Linked DNA regions of Notamacropus eugenii. The protein of the gene in region 1 interacts with the protein of each later gene in a biochemical or structural test. Links are inferred from orthologs where the notes say so. Each region holds a gene or a part of one and is shown on either strand. Other genes may lie near its edges. The genes, in order: BMPR1B and GDF5.

Region 1 (8,942 bases):
TGGGGCTGCTATTCAGTGTGAGATTAATTTCAGGTGCTCAGGTGGGGGCAGGGCCGCCACTCAGAACTCAGTTCCCTCTGGGGGTTTATGCAGAGACCTTCAACAATGGATTCAGGTTCCTGCCTGCTTGGAGAGCCCTGGTCTGCCGCTGCCTCAGCTGCTGCCTCCCGAGAGAGCCTGAGTTATGGGGGCACCCCACTCCCCTCTCAACCCGTCAAAGAGACCCTCTCACCGACCCCCATCACCTGTGGGTGGAGGGACCCGTGCGGCTGCTGGAGATCCCATCCCTGAAGCCCACTCGGATCTGCTCCTCTCAGTGCCGCGGGCATGGCAGGGCTGTGCTCGGCTCCCAGTCCCGGCGCCCACTCCGTGGCGCAAAGGACCTTTTGCGAGAAGTTTGCAGGTCCCTCTGGAACAGAAATCTCCTTCGCTCCACTGTTCTGTGGCCTCTACTGCTCCAGAATTCGCAGCGAGTTCCTTTTTACAGATGTTCTATGGGTTGTAGGTTCGGAGCTATGTGTATGTGCATCTTTCTACTCCGCCATCTTGGCTCCGCCCTCCAGGATAAGGGAAATCTGAGCAAGATAGAAGGAGCCAGTTGGGAGGGAGAGACTGAAGATGAATGAGGGAACAAAAGGTGACTCCAAATCTAGCATTGTAATGAAGACAAAGGATAAAAGTTAATTTAACACTCCATCTCTCAGCTCCCTCCCTCCTCATCTCTACCTACTAGTTTCTCTGGTTTTCTTTAAGTTCCAACTAAAAATCCTTCTACAGGAAGCTTTTCCCAATCCCTCTTCATTCTAGTACCTTCTTTTTTAAAATTAGTTCCTATTCATGCTGCCTATAGCTTATTTGTCCATATTTGTTAGATTATGAGCTCCCTGAGAGCAGGGACCATTCTCTTTTTTTGTCTCTTTGTTTTTAGGTGACAATCCTCATTGCTTTGCCATGCCCAGCACACAGTAAACACTTAAAAGATTATTGACTGAAATATTTATTGTGTTACCTTACTAAAGTGGTATTCAGTAAGAAGTGCAGAATATTTTAAAAGAGATATAAATTTTTATTCCCTTTGTTTAAAGAGCACTAATTCCCATTTAGCTAATAATGCTACCTAGATTTGGACCCTGCCTTAGATAAATATCTAAGAATGACTTGAAATCTATGAAAATAATTGTTTTAGGTGGGGACTTAGTAGTTTGTTTTCAGAAATAGTCTTAGTGCAGTTTTCAGTTGCACTAAGACTTTTGGGACACTACATAGAATAAGCGCTCTATAATTCTGTTTATGCTCAGTTATGCTACTTTTACTATGGTTAGCAAACTCCTTCTTCATGACCAGAAGCTTACTCTCAACCACAATATAAGTTAGGATAAATTCTAAAGGAGAAAATCCAAGTTAATGAATTCTCATTAGAATATAAATTCCTTGTGTATGGGGGGATGGGATGGGGAGGCAGGGATTGCATTTTTCCCTTTCTTTATATTCTTAGTACTTTGCCCAAGGCTGCAAACAATATATAAATAAATGTTCTAATTTAGGTATCAATGTGCAACGTCATCTCAGAAACAGGGCTTCAAGAATTCCGGTTGTGTGACCACTACTATGTGTTGTGATGTTTATTTCCTGAACTTGGACTTGATTGAAGGCTGCAATCCAAGCTATCTAAGTGATTGAAATATGTCAGTTGCCTCCAACACTATTTTAGTGATAGGTGGTCAAGGATGGAGTAGGTTGCTGATATTTTAAATCACAGGTTCAAAGGCTGGAGAGGGGACTTTGAGATCGTCTTGTCAAACCTTTTCATTTTTTTAGACATGGCAACAAGTCTAGGAAAACAAGGTGAATTTTATAGGCAAACTCACATTGCAGCTAGGGGGTGAAGCCAAGATTAAGCACCCTAGTCTGGCCACCCTTTCCAATATTGATTATACATTCCAATATTGATTATACATTCACATACTCATACACATACTCATTCATGGGAATGAGTGATAATACTCCCTACTCCCTTTTGCCACTTCCAAGATCTCTTTCTTCTAATACCTCAGTAATCTCTTCTCCTCTGAAGTTCATCCAATGCATATTTCTTATTCAAATAAAATTTTGTTAGGTGTTATCTACTACCACTAGGACACTCTTTTCCTCCTCAATGAGTTTAGGGTCTGGCTCACAGTCTTTCCATTCTAGGTAGCTTGCCCTTTCCCCACCATACAGCTTAGGAGACTTCAAAATACATACTGATATTCCCTCACACACTAAATTCTTAGTTCTCAGCAACAACTATGATTTACAGCTTTGACAAGTGACTTACATATATTATACTTTATCCTCACAACAACCCTGGGGATTATAGATGTGGAAACTGCATTTCCTCAATTTCCTCATTTCCTATGACCTATTCTTCCACTTGTAACTCCTTCCTCTCTTAACTCTACACAAAGATGGCCATACCCTTGCTGAAGGGCATCATTAGCCTCCCAGTCCTGAGGGGGATCTAAACTCAAATCACCCAGTCAAATTACTTTGGCTGTACTTTTTCTCGAATTATAGCATCTAAAAACTCCTCCCCCTACTTGGAAGTTTGGATATCGACTAGCCCACTAATTCTTCATGCAAACTGAATGAGAATACTGAGTATTTTCTAAATTTAAAAAGTCCTTATTACTTTATTCATTGTATTTGGAGTTTTTCAGTTTTTTCATGGACAAAAAAAAATTGATTCAGCCATGATTCAACCTTATATATTGTTCACCTGCTACTTTTACAATACAATCTTGGATAGTAAATTTTGGTGTATACTGTCTTAAATTTCTATTGTACCGGGAGGAGACATCATCAAGAAAATCTTGGAGGAAAATCTGATGGCTCAGAGTGAGTATCAATAGCAATTGTTTCCGTTTTTTGTTTTGTTTTGTTTTGGTTTTTTGGCCAGAAACCCTGAGGGTCTTCTCCCCCCCAACCCCCCATCGCCATTTTTTTTTTTTTACTAGTTAAAAAAGGCCATTCTTTGCCTCATTTCTTACCTAGTCTTAATCACTGAATGGCCTTTGCCTCAGGCTAACTGAGACCTTAGCTTTAGAAAGGCCAAGGTCTCCCACTGTATCCTGGGCCATCTCCAGTCATTCTAATCTACATCTTGCTCCTAGACTCGGATGTCTCAGTAGGAAAGAGTGATGCTTGCACAGCCCTTGCTTGCTTAAATCCAATTCACCTGCAAATCTTGATTATCACTCTCCTGATGACATGGTCCTCTTTCAGAACAAAGTACAAACAACAATAACTCTTAATTAAGTGATTTCTATTGGTCCATATAATCTGTAGACATACTTGACTTGTATTTCCTTTAGCACCTGCTTAGCTCTGTGCTTTGCTTAGTGAATGTGTGGTCAGGTTGTGGTTGTTTCTCTGGGGTCCCCAATATACTGGGGGCCAATAAAAGCAGATGCAAGTTTGGGAAGTAGGTCCTGTGCTGGGCTACATTGATTTGACAACCTATATTTTCATCTATGACATTCTTATTTTCTTGAGCTAATCCATAAAAATGCCTTTAACTTGTTTTCCTTGCTTAAATTCTTTGTTCCTAATTCCAGTGATGGAAATTATATATACTTCCACCTATCTCATACATAGATATCCTTTTATAAGAGTAGTAAAGAAATAGGTAGAAAAGAAATAACCAAAGGTGACAAATCATTTTAGAAGAAAAAAAAGTCATCATGCGTTCGAAAGAAGAAATATATATAATAATTAATTTTTGCCAGCTTTGTCAATTTTTTGTTCTACCTTTTTTTCTGGGTGGGATTTAGAAATTATGTTTGTGGATCCATAAAGATGGCTCAGAAATATGACTCAGATTATGTATGGTCACCCTCAAAAACTGAAACTTAAAATTAAATTTTGCTAAATGAGTTTACTTATATTATCTTAAAGATAATGACAATACATAGTAAGTTAATTTCTGAAGATATATAATCCAGAAGTTAATTAATGAAGATGTGCCCATGTTAATTCTGAAGGTATCTAAATTCATATTGATAAAAATTATATCAATATGAATAAAATTAGGCATTTGTAGCATCTCTTCCTTTTCACCATTTCCCCCCATGATTTTGTACAGTCAAGATTCATAAAGTTTGCTCACTGTGGCATGAAGGTAAGCCTATGTGGTCTTTTTCTCCAAAGAGAGGTGGGGGACTATATGTACAGAAAGTTGCATACCCTGTGGTCTTGATATGATTGGTTTTGCTTACTGCTTTCTTTGTTACAAAGGAGGTTTCTATGGCTGGGGACATATTCAGAGAAGGCTGTAAAGGGAAAAAACCCAAACCCAAATCCAAATATTTACTAAATAAATAAACATGATAAGACCATAGGAATGCAAGATCTGGCAGGTCACACCAGGCTGTAAGGACCATTGTTTGAAGACCAATGAAGTTCTAAGCTCATTACCAAATGGTTATTCATCAAGCAATGAATTTTTTTGTTGCGCTTTGTTTTTTACCTACAGTACCCGTGTCAATGCCCAGGACATTTAAATTACGTCTTGAAATACTGTTTCAACTGAGTTTCTGCATTAGTTTAACTCTCTGGAGATAGTGGATAGGACTTAAAATTTGGAATTCCCAAGTTCTTTCTCTGTATGTTCAACATTCCAAAGAAAGCCATGGCTTTTTGATTTAAAATAAAATGGCAAGGACAGCAGGAAAAGGGGCAATCAGTTCTAAGGACGGTGCTTTGGGAGTCATCGGTGGGAGTCGTATGGTAAGGTAGAGTCAAGATTCAGTCAATGCCAGACTTTATCTGTTTGGAATATATGCATACAGGAGTAAGTTTAGAAAAAAGTTAAAAATGAATGAAGGCAGAAAAAGAAAATGAGCAAGACTTGGCTCCAGTTATATTTCAGTTATAAGCAGACAGATCTCAGTGTGAGGTAGAAAGACCTGGAACCATAGAACTCCCTCTAGCCTTGTTCTGACTAGTATTCTAGGCAGGCAACATTCAGTTACCACACTCATGCTACTAGCCAAGCCACACAAGTATGAAATGAGTAGCAAAGGTTCCAAAATAAATAAAATACCCCAATGGTTATAACTTCATCTCCGAATACATCAGAAAAATTCTCTGCTACCCTTTGGTGGCTTCAGACAGCTTATGAAAATATAAATGCTTTAACTTGAAGGAGGAAAAAAATCTCCCAAATTCTAGTCCTTTAATTACTCATATTGCTAAGTGAGGGGATCATATCTTTTATGAATTCCATAAAGTTTTAGCAGGGTGTTAATATATGGGAAATAATCACTTTCATGGATGGGAAAAAGATTCTTTCTCTCCTCTCCCCAAATATTTCTTTCCAAACCTTCCTAAATCTTTTTTTTGGGGGGGGGAGCCTCTAAAATAAGTGAAACCTACATGATTGCAGTAGGATGTGTAAGGGGGAGGAGAGCAGATGCTACAAATGCTAGTACCCTGAGGGCAGGGACTGTTTAACTGTTTAATTGTCGTTACATTAGCTCCATTATGGCATGCGGTTAGGCGCTTAATAAATGTTTATTGCCTGATGAGCCCCGTTCTCCACGTACATCTTCCGTCCCCAAAGCAGAAGCGTGTCCTTTTAGTGCATATCAAAATGGGTTAGACACATAATCCTGCTGCTAAGCATTTGGCTCTCACCGTTCCATCACTAGTGGGAGCTGGAGAGGGCAAGGCGCCCAGGAGCCAGTGTGTGCAGGAGAACGCCAGCGGCTGCGGCTCTCACCGCGGCACCCACGGACGGAACGTGGCCGTGTGGTCCGGACGCGGGGGGCAGCGGCAGCCCGGCTCAGCCCGCGGGCACTGCCCTCACCTTCGAGTCCGAGCGCAGCCCGGTGAGTTGGGAACATTGCGAAGTTCCCGTGCTTGACGCTAGTCCGAGCCAGGGTTCTGCCCCGGGCGGGAGGGTTCTCGTAGATGCCCGCTGGGGCAGAGCGCAGGGCTCGGGGTGCCCCTTGGAGAAAGAAGTCGGGGCTCGGCGGATGCCCGGAGCGGGGGCGCTGCGGGGGTGGGCTTCCCGCGGAGAGGGGCAGCTACCTTTCTAAGAGAGTTTGTTTGACATGGCGGGCAAGGTCGTTTAACTTTTTTGGGGGGGAAGATGTGTGCTTTCTCCCCCTCTTACCCCCCCCCCACCCCATCCCAGCCGGGGAGACGGGCTCCACGAGGAGGAGGGGTGTGTAGGAGAGGAGGGAGGGAGAAGGGGCAGACACTTTTCGTCCAGTCTGTGAGTGGGTTTGGGGAGACCTCCCATCGCCACGGGGCTGCGGGAGCCTTGGAAAGACTGGGTCCACTTTGGGGGGTCGGGAGGACGTGGAGGGGATCTGGACTCTGCAAAAAGTCACCTGTGTGTCTGTCTCAAAGCCAGAGCCCCCCAATAATGCGGTGGCATCTTTACACCCAGACCCCCACCGGTGTGCCCTAGTGGGCGTGTGGTTCTGCTTCTGGTTGGGGCAGGGCTCTTTCCTCCCTGGCCCCGTAAGGAGATACATTCAGTTTCTCCGATGTATCAATTGCTAGTTGGTGCTAATAAGGCAGTTGTCTTTGCCCCTCCCTGGATACAGTAGCCACAGCTTGCATGGAAAACTTTTTAAAAACACCAAGCCAGTTAGAAAACAGGGGGAGAATTTTTCCCTGCGATCAGTTGTATTTGGGGGTCGCATGAAGGTGAGGTCAGCCCCCCACGGAGAAGAAGCAGGAGGGTGGTGATCTCAGATAAAGTCACAGGACCGAAAAGCCTCTGTAGCATAGGGGAGAGAGAGCCAACTGTTAAAAAACAAAAAGTCACAGTACCGCTCCAAAAAAACTTGTAAAAAAGAAGAAGGCCCAGTTAGAGATGGAAACGAGAAAAAGCCTCAAAGGACATTTAGGAAAAATTCTTTTAGAAATCTCTTTGTTGTCTTAAAATGGATAACAATCTGTTTCTTTTTACTTCCATGTATCTTGAACTTCTCCAGGGAGCAATCGTAACCATTTCTTGGGGGTGAGAGTGAGGGGTCATCCCCATCAAATAGAACACAGGTACTTTAGAAAATATCTCGACTTATTTAGACTTTGCGGTTTGTTTCTAACTTCTTTACTCTCCAATGATGGGAATTATTTTGGAATGGAAAGAAAATAGAAAAAGATGTAACAGTAATTTAAAAAGAGGAAACATCCTAGTGTTTGGGGAAACAATTTTTAGATCAGTGTATAATCCAAAAAGACTGTATGTTGTAGGTAGCTCTGTGTGTGTGTGTGTGTGTGTGTGTGTGTGTGTGTACACATACATTTATTGGAAACAGCCGTTTTAAAAATGTTTTTGATATCCAGACATAATGTAGCTTTGTGGGATTTTTTTTACATGACAAACACTGTCTTGGCTGCCAGAACTTTCAAACACTGTCATTTGTCTAATTTGCTTTATCATTTAGAAAATGGGCTCCTTTTGGTTGAGTGGATTTCATTACTTTGATTGTATTACTTCCAGGCTACTGTGGGTTTCTTTTTTTTTGGGGGGGGGGGACTAATTTGTGATTGAAAATCAAAATGTTAATTTTTGCTGTTTAAGAGATGATTATATTATGTTAATGAATCATCACTTGTGGGGGGAGTTGCCATCTGTGTTTTTCAGGTGATGCTATGGCAAGTGGAATAGATTTAATAAATATTGTTGACCTGTTGAGTGGAACCACCAGTATTTTGTGAATTTCTTTTACTATTAGTCTGTGACTCTAGTATTTATAGATTTGTAAATGCAAAATAATTGCATACTTCTCTGAAAAGTTCCTTCAAGTAAAGAGTATTTGTTAAAAATTATTTGTTAATTCAAAGATCTCATAAAGTTATTTTCACATAAAAAATTTAATATATTTACGTCTGCTGATGGAGACGTGTGCTATGAATAATGCCAGTGATATTTCTCTGTCCCCTTGTATCCACTCCCCCTAACAGATTTACCTTCCTAATTTTTTTTTTTTTTTTTTTTTGGAGAGAGGGGTATTAAGATTAGTTGTTCTTTCCTGAGCCCTCATTAGGTTCATGGTAGGAGGAGCTGATTGATTGGTCATCTGTAGGTTGTTGGAAATTACTTTGATATTCAAAAAGTCTATAATCAGAAATTGTATACATGAGACATACTTTAAATTGAACTATATGGTAGGATAGTTGTGATTTTTATCTAAATTTGGAATACCAGATGGGAGACACTGATGAATTGCTATTAGATCAGAAGTACTTTTTGTATAATGGCAATTATTGATTAAATGTGAAAGACTAAAATTTGTAATATAACGTTCTCTTTTACTTGGTTAGACATTAATTGAAATAGAGCCTATAGACTCCTATTTCCTTACAGCTGATATTCAGAAAGAGCAAAGCATTTCAAGATGCTTCTATGGCAAATAATTCTTAAGATGCTTTTCCATTTTAGCTTTCGTGTAAATAGGAGTGAATGTATCTGGTTATAAAGTAGAAGCAGATATAGGTACAGCTAATCTTTTTTCATCTAATGCAGAACAATAAAAACCATGTGTTGAATTATCCCTGGAGAAGTGCTGATAATCATATATTATTCCTAAGCATGAAACAATCTTTATTTTTTAGTTAACTATCAAGAAAAATGAGTAAAGCCCATAAGTCACTGAAGCTCCAAGAACAGTCTTTAAAACTTTTATTCATTTTGATGGGAATCCTTTATAAATGCTCTGTGTAATCCAATAAATAGCTTCTTAAAGAGAGTTCACTGGCATAATTTACCTTTTCCTAGGAGACTTCTCAAATGCCCTCAGAGCCTGTTTGCTCCTCCTAGGGTGCCAAAGTGCTGTGCTTTGAGTTCTTATGTCTAGTTTTATAGTTTTTCTGCTGGTTTTTTTATTGGCACTGTTAGCTCACTGATACTTTTAATTTGTTGAGTCTAATCTGCTATGTGC
Region 2 (8,252 bases), on another chromosome or scaffold:
GGATTTATCAAACACTAGGTTACTATGGCCAGTTACTATTATGTATTAGCCAATATCAGATTGTTTTGATGATTACCACTTTGTAATATAGTTTGAAATCTGAAACTGCTGGGTCACCTTCTTTCACACTTTTTTTCATTGATTCCCTTGATATTCTTGATCTTTTATTCTTCCAGATGAATTTTGTTACAATTTTTTTCTAGTTCTATAAAGTAATTCTTTGGTAGTTTGACTGATATTGACGATACCCCCTTGAACTTTCCTTGAGCTTTCCCACATGGCCTAGTCTTTGGCAGTTATCCTTTCTACTGGCCTTTCATTGGCCCTCCTCCTAAACCAGGGCAGCTAGGTGGTGCAGTGGATAGAGCACCAGTGCAGGAGTCAGGAGGACCTGAGTTCAAATCTCACCTCAGACACTTGACACTCACTAGCTGTGTGACCTTGGGCAAGTCACTTAACCCCATTTGCCTCATCCTGGATCATCTCCAGTCATCCTGATGAATATCTGGTCACTGGATTCAGATGGCTCTGGAGGAGAAGTGAGGCTGGTGACCTGCACAGCCCTCCCTCACTCAAAACAAAGTCAAGTGCAAGTCATGTCATCATTTCTCTGATGGCATGGTTTTTTTCAGCAGCGAGGGACAAACCACACACACCTGCCAAACCTCCAGTTCTCTGTTACCTCTAATGTAGCACAGCCCTTCATTGTTACCTCCCAATCACCCCAGCCACCTCTCATCCTTTATTCCTTCTAGACCCTTTCTTACAGTCATTCCCATCCAGATATTCCCACTTCTTGACCACTGTATATAAGGTTCATTTTGTCTCTATTAAAGTGCTCAGATTCCTTAAGAATCTGGCCAATGGCTCAGATTCAATCTAGTCTGCTTGTCAATACAAGTGTCACAATATTGTGGATTCTTAAAATCTTGCCTAACCTGATTGATGTTTTAATAAACCTTGTCTCAGACTGAAAGAAGTCTTGAGTTGAATTCATTCGAGGCAGGACCTATGTTGTTTGCCTTGAATTTTGGGGTCCCGGCACCTCTAGACCTCAACAGTATGGCACTGAATAAGTAAATTAACTTGAACAGAATTGTCATTTTTATTGTATTGGCTCAGCCTACTCATGAGCAATTAATATTTCTCCAGATGTTTAGATCTGCCTGTATTTTTGTAAAAAGTGTTTTGTAATTATGTTCATATAATCCCTGGGTTTGTCTTAGCAGGTAGACTCCCAAGTTTTTTATATCGTCTGTGGTTATTTTAAGTGGAATTTCTTTTTCTATCTCTTGCTGCTGGATTTTATTGGTAGTATAAAGAAATGATGATGATGATTGTGGGTTATATTCTGCAACTTTGCTGAAGTGATTGTAAACTCTTTAAGAGTTTCTGATGAACAAAGCTGTGTGCAAAGGGCTGACCAATCAGAAAATGTGGAATCTCATAGGATAGTGTTGGATTTGAAGTCGGAAAGATAGATTCAAATTTTGCCTCTGACATTAACTAGCTATGAGACCATGGACAAGACACTACCTCTCTGAGCCTCAGTTTTCTTGTCTTTAAATCGGAATGTTGTTGAGGCTCAAATAAGGTAATTTATGAAGGTGCTTTACAAACTTTAAAACACTATTTAAATGTCAATAATAATTACTAATAAATACTTGTTGATGGATTGATTGTCTGAATCTCTTAAAGGTCATGTTTTCTATTCCAGGACTGTCTAGCTTGTGTTGACCTAAGATAATTGACATGGGTAGAAGCACCTTAATGGAGTTAGAGTATAAATCAGGGGCTCTTGCTAGTTGACTACCCAGTTAGGCTTTTAATAACTTTTCAGTGATAGATTCACCTTATACCCTGACGAGTAGGAAAAGAACCAGGCTGGGGAGTCAGGTGACAGATTCTAATCTGTTTCTTTCCCCAACCTGCAGGATGAAGTTATAGCCTCTGTTTCTTCCTATGTAATATGGGCATGATAATCCCTGCCCTTCCTAATTCACGGGGATAATGAGATTCAAATGTAACAATCAATAGGTAATATTCTACAAAATGAAAAGTTTTCTACAAACATAAGGGTTTGCAAAAGAACAACATATTCACTGATGGTAGTTATCGAAGTGGAAGACAGCCTTAAATAGCAATAAAACTGAGGTTTAATACACTGGGAATGGCGGTACTGCTTTGTTAAAGCACCACCTTCTTTTCTTTTAACAAACAAATAATAAAAGCGAACACTTGCAAGTACAAACATTTGCAATCAGATTTTTGTGTTGTTTTGAGTAACTTTTTGAAAGATTTTATATTTTGTTTTGTTTGTGTGCTTTAAGACAAAATTTATTAATAGAAAAACCAAATGTAAGAACTTGCTATTATTTTCACGCCTTGAATTTCAGACAGAATGACTGCTTCCCAAGGCTCCCTTGCTCTGCCTAGAGTTAGACATTAATATTGTTGACATATAAGGGAGACATAGGGGGAGATGGGGGTGGAGTGGGGTGGGGGAACCAGGGCTCTGGGTCCCAGTAATTAAAGATGTCGGCACTGCCAGAGGCAGCATCTGGTTGCAATTACCAAAGGGGACAGAAGTGATTAGTCACCTTTTTAGTAAGAGCCAAATGTGTCCCTTGGGCATTTCCCTTGAGAGTGCCTCCCACCCTGTCCCCAAGCCTTTCCCTCTCTCCCCCTCCCCATGCCTGAAAGCCCCGTCCCCACTGATAATGTCCTATGTTTTGAGGGTGTTTAATATCTCCAGTATCCCAGTGTGTTGGAGGGAGTGAGAGGATAGTCTCCAAGGAGTCTCAGAGCAGAATACAGTCAACTATGAATTCTTCTACTGCTTTTTAAACTTGATTTTTCTACTATGGATTTCCTGCAGCTTTTGTCCTGAAGTCTCCCTTACCCTACAGTCTTGTTTCAAGGTTTTACAACTCATTTGTTCACCATTGGCCCCATTTGGCACCAAGGGCTAAGGCAAAAGTAACATCATAAGCATTAAACCCAGGTCTTCTGATGTTTGATTCCACAACTAGACCAGTGAGCACAAGATAGGTTTTGTTTTTCCTTAAGATTTAATTGAAGCTTGGGTCATTGCAATGGCAAAGGCAGTGGAAGACTCATTTCTCCAAGGATAACTTGAAGTTGGGACAGCATGAGTAAAATTGTTCTTTTCTTTCCTAGACTTACCATAGCTTCTCCTCTGTCCAAAAGGCAAGAAACTTGAGCTAAAACTGACTCTGGATAGTTTTCTAAGATCAATGAATTGCTAAACTAGCAATCTCTTGTTTGGAACTGTTGGCTGAGTTTGGGGCACCTGGTAAAGATAGAGCTCTTTGATGTCTACTGTCCCATTAATCCTGGAACAATGAAGACAATATGCTTTATAGTTGTAGGCTCCCAGATCTCAGCAGCTTGAAGGATTTGGATAAGAGCTATTGTAATGTGACAAATCCTGTACACCCACACCTGCAGCTAGGTGGTGTCAGTGGTTAGAGTGATGGGTCTGAAGTCAGGAAGACCAAGTTCAAATTCAGCGTCAGACACTGACTGCTTGGGTGACCCTGGACCAGTCACTTAACCGCTACCTGTATCATTTTCCCCATCTGTAAGATGGAGATAATAATAGCACCTACCCCTTAAGATTGTGAAGATAAGGTGAGCGGATGTTTCTAAAGGGTGCTTTGCAAACCTTAGAGAGCCATATAAATGCATTTTATCATCATTATTATTATTATTGCACCTGGACTAAAATATCTTCTTCATTAAGATTCCCACCCCTGCCAGACTGCAATGTCCTACCTAGTATCGACCTCAGCTTCCACAAAAGTGCCTGGCTTTCGATTTGACATTTTAAGAAACACCTGAATTTCCCCCATGTATGTCTCAAGAATGAGGGGCACCTTGAATTATGTGGTGAGTTTCCCTTGTCCTGCAGGGGTCACTGCTGCTCCAGGACTGGGTAAATCCCGTCCCTAATGAAGGGCTATCCAGTCTGCTAACTGGTAGGAACTTGGGAGCAGCCTATGCAAACCATCTCCACCAACGTCCCCTGCGGGAGTGGGGTCCGAAAGGGGTGGCATACACAGGGTGACATTCTGGGGCCCAGGCATCCTCTGAGCGTTTTCTTGTGGGATAGAAGAAGGCATATCGGTCTCCAGGTCATCTCAAGTTTATTAAAATAAAAGGAGCTGTTGGTAAATACTACTGACTGTTACGTGCCCCCTCCGTTAGGCCCCAGACTCAGAGGCTGAGTAGTAACTACTTTAAAAACACTCCAAGGACTTGACTTTGAAAACCTAGACCCGCCTCCCCCAATCCACCCCCCCCCAACCCCCCTGCCCCGCACTAGCCTGCCGCCCCCTCCCCCTTGGTGGTGTGCTTTAAGAACCGTGAATTGCTTTCTCCTCTGGATGGGGCTGGCTCTGCACACCCCAGGTGGAGGCCCCGTGCTCCTCCCAAGGCTCCAGGGCAGTCCCTGGGCATGAGGGTCCCACTGAACCGCCCACCCCCACCCCCATCCCCGGTGTGAGTCACCGTCCGTGAAAAGGCAGAGACGACTTTTTTTTTTCTTTCACATAAATATATCGTACTTAAATTAGTTTAGACAGCATGACATCAGAGAGTAATTAAATTGGTTTTTGTTGGAATTCCGTTTCCAATTCCTGAGTTCAGGTTTGTAAAAGATTTTTTTTTCACTGAGCACCTGCAAGCGGGTGTGTGTGTGTGTGTGTGTGTGTGTGTGTGTGTGTGTGTGTGTGTGTGTGTGTGTGTGTGAAATATTTTCACTGGAAAGGATTCAAAACTTAAAAAAAAAAAAAAACTGGAGCCCAGAGGCAGCATTACGCCATTCTTCCTTCTTGGAAAAAACCCTCAGACTTAAAACAAGCCTCCTTCAAACTCTCCGTCAGTCCTGCAGGAGAAAAGGGGCGGTCGGCTTTCTGCTTTCAAGAACGAGTTATTTTCAGCTGCTGACTGAAGACGGGCGCACGTCTGGATACAAGAGCGTTTCCACTATGGGACTGGATACAGACGCGCAAGAGGCAGATTTAAAGAGTCTCAGACTGAGGAGAAAGCCCTTGCCGCTGCCCTTGCTGCCGCTGCCGCTGCCGCCCTTGCCTTCCAGGTTTCGTTCCTTTCATGGTTTCTCCTGCCAAACCAGAGATACCTTCGCCGCTGTTCTCTTTGGTGCCAATCAGCGGCAGGTTAGAGGATGAGACTCCCAAGACTCCTCGCTTTCTTGCTCTGGCACCTGACTTGGTTGGACCTAGATCTTATCAGCACTGTTCTGAGTGCCCCAGACCTGGCACAGAGAAGCTCAGGGTCCAGACCGGGATTGGCCAAGGCAGAAGCCAAGGAGCGTTCCCCCCCGGCCAGAGGCAGCTTCAGGCCGGGGGGACATGGCATCAGTGGGGCAGCCACTAATGCCAGGGCAAAGGGCAGCGCCAGCCAAGCTGGAGGCCTACTACCCAAGAAGGATCAGCCCAAAAAGATGCCCTCGAGATCCGGAGGTCCTGAGCCCAAGCCAGAATTCCCCCATGCAAGGCAGTTGGGAGCCCGGACTGTGACCCCCAAAGGGCAGCTCCCTGGTGCCAAGGTTCCTCCAAAGGGCGGCCCCAGTTCCAGTACTTTCCTACTGAAAAAGGCCAAGGAGCCAGGGCCCCCAAGCGAGCCCAAGGAACCATTCCGACCACCCCCAGTCACGCCCCATGAGTACATGCTCTCCCTGTACAGGACGCTATCGGATGCTGATAGGAAGGGAGTCAATGGCAGCGTGAAGCTGGAGGCTGGGCTGGCCAACACCATCACCAGCTTCATAGACAAAGGGCAAGGTGAGAGGCAATGCTAACCCCAGGTCAAGGAGGGATGTCCAGGGGAGTGTGTTTATCTCCCAGCTACCAGTTACACATGCCAGAGGTTACCTCTTGTATTATTGTGCATCTGGTTGTGTGGGCTACATGCACTAGGACATCGAATTGTAGGACATCAGAGCAGGAAGGGACCTTAAGGTTCATCCAGTGCAGGTCCATGAGTTTGCAGAGGAGAAAACTGAGGTTCAGACAGGGCAAGAGACTTTCTGAAGGTCATAGTGCATTGGTTGCATGAGCTGGGATGAAAACCTTGGTATCCTGTTTCTCAGTTCCTTGTTCTTTATTTGCATGGACTCTCCTCCCTTAGTTCTAGATGAAGCTAGATCAGAGGTGAGCGTTGGGAATGTTGAGGGGAACAAGGGATTCATTGCAGAGGAGATGGAATTTCAGCTGGGGGATGGTGTGGGAGAAGAGCACTGTCAATGAGTCCTCCTGTCCTAAACAAAGCTAAATGGTTTGGTACTTTCATACATAACCCAGGAGAACTTAGGTTCTCCTTATTTTTTGTAACTGTGGTGCTCAAATTCTTCTGTTTCAATCTGACCGCTTAACTCTCTTGTGATCTTATATAAGGGACTTACTTTTTTGAGTCTTAATTTGTCCCTATATAAAAAAATAAGGAGGTTGTACTAGAAGATTTCTAAGGTCCCTTCCACCTATGAGTTTCTAAAATTCTATGATTCTTAGAACTTCTACTTGAGTGCCTTCTGGGAGGGAGTTTAAGGAAGGGGGAGAACATATTCATTAAACATTTGATGTTGGGGGAGGGGGTGAGACTGAGCCAGGCTCAGTGGCAGCAAGCCTGGTTGGGGTGGGGGAGGTAGGCTGGCTCTGTGCCCAGTTAGGGAAAGCTGTAATTCCTTCAGGACTCATAAAGTAAGTCCCCATGTCCCCTAGCACTGAAGTTGCTCAGGGAGGGGAGATGAGGAGTTTAAAAGTCCAATTAGTCACCTTCTAGGCCAACATGTGAATACTCCCTGGTGGCAAATTGGTGTTTAGGTAGGATAACATATTCTGACATATACTGAAGCTGTGTCATATAAGAACATCCTTTGAATGATCATCTATAGAGATATATTCACCTACCCAATGAGTAAAACACATACAGTTCACACACACAGAACATGGGCTTCAACATAGTTATACATTCTCTCTGTCTCTTTCTCCCATGATACACACGTACCCTGAGTATAGAGGACATCAGAGGACATCACACACTTGCTTGCATGTTTATGCCCACAATGGATTTGGTAATGTACTTGTTGTTTAGTAAGTTCTCTTCATTTGTACACTCTCAGAATAGAATGTGGGGTCCCAGCTTCTATCCTAGTGGAGAAAATGTTAAGTAGTTTTCTTAGATTCAGTAGCTTCTTCCTGTACATTACAGAGACTCTGCAGGAGCATCAAGAATGATCCTATTTCTTTCTCTCTAGATGACAGAGGTCCTGCAGTCAGGAAGCAAAAATATGTATTTGACATCAGTGCTCTGGAAAAAGATGGGTTGTTGGGAGCTGAGTTACGGATCCTGCGGAAAAAGCCCTCAGATGGGTCAAAGCCATCTGTCCCTGGGCGGCCAGCCCAGTTGAAGTTGTCTAGCTGTCCCAGTGGCCGGCAACCAGGCATCTTGCTTGATGTACGTTCTGTACCAGGTCTGGATAGCCCCCGTTGGGAAGTGTTTGACATCTGGAAGCTCTTCCGAAATTTTAAGAACTCAGCTCAGCTGTGTTTGGAGCTGGAGGCCTGGGATCGAGGTCGTGTCATGGACCTACGTGGTGTGGGTTTTGACCGAATTGCTCGTCAGGTCCATGAGAAGGCCTTATTTCTGGTGTTTGGCCGCACTAAGAAACGTGATCTGTTTTTTAATGAAATTAAGGCTCGTTCTGGCCAAGATGATAAGACTGTGTATGAGTACCTATTCAGTCAGCGTCGGAAACGGCGGGCCCCACTCACAACACGTCAGGGCAAGCGACCCAGCAAGAATCCCAAGGCCCGTTGCAGTCGCAAGGCACTGCATGTTAACTTCAAGGACATGGGCTGGGATGACTGGATCATTGCACCCTTGGAATATGAGGCCTTCCACTGTGAAGGACTCTGTGAGTTTCCCCTTCGATCTCACCTGGAGCCCACCAACCATGCTGTCATCCAGACTCTCATGAACTCCATGGATCCAGAATCTACCCCTCCTACCTGCTGTGTACCTACCAGGCTGAGTCCCATCAGCATCCTCTTCATTGATTCTGCCAACAATGTGGTCTACAAGCAGTATGAGGACATGGTTGTGGAGTCCTGTGGCTGCAGGTAGCAGCATCACCCCTCCAGCCACCCATCCTTCTCCATGGTCATGGCCAGTGTCACATGGACTTCTCTTTTCCATTAGTATACTGA

The links.
Region 2: the proteins of BMPR1B (region 1) and GDF5 interact in a biophysical measurement, tested with the Homo sapiens proteins (3 studies listed by BioGRID and IntAct, with this or other methods). The link is inferred for Notamacropus eugenii from reciprocal best matches to the Homo sapiens genes BMPR1B and GDF5.

Annotation. Positions count from the first base shown.
Region 1 is NC_092878.1:132,073,434-132,082,375, forward strand, and holds the start of BMPR1B (bone morphogenetic protein receptor type-1B), read left to right. Parts: upstream 1-5,673; 5' UTR 5,674-5,870; intron 5,871-7,985; exon of another isoform or gene 7,986-8,942. UniProt on the Homo sapiens protein: On ligand binding, forms a receptor complex consisting of two type II and two type I transmembrane serine/threonine kinases.
Region 2 is NC_092872.1:419,485,876-419,494,127, reverse strand, and holds the start of GDF5 (growth/differentiation factor 5), read left to right. Parts: upstream 1-4,705; 5' UTR 4,706-5,209; coding exon 5,210-5,828; intron 5,829-7,300; coding exon 7,301-8,169; 3' UTR 8,170-8,252. UniProt on the Homo sapiens protein: Growth factor involved in bone and cartilage formation. During cartilage development regulates differentiation of chondrogenic tissue through two pathways.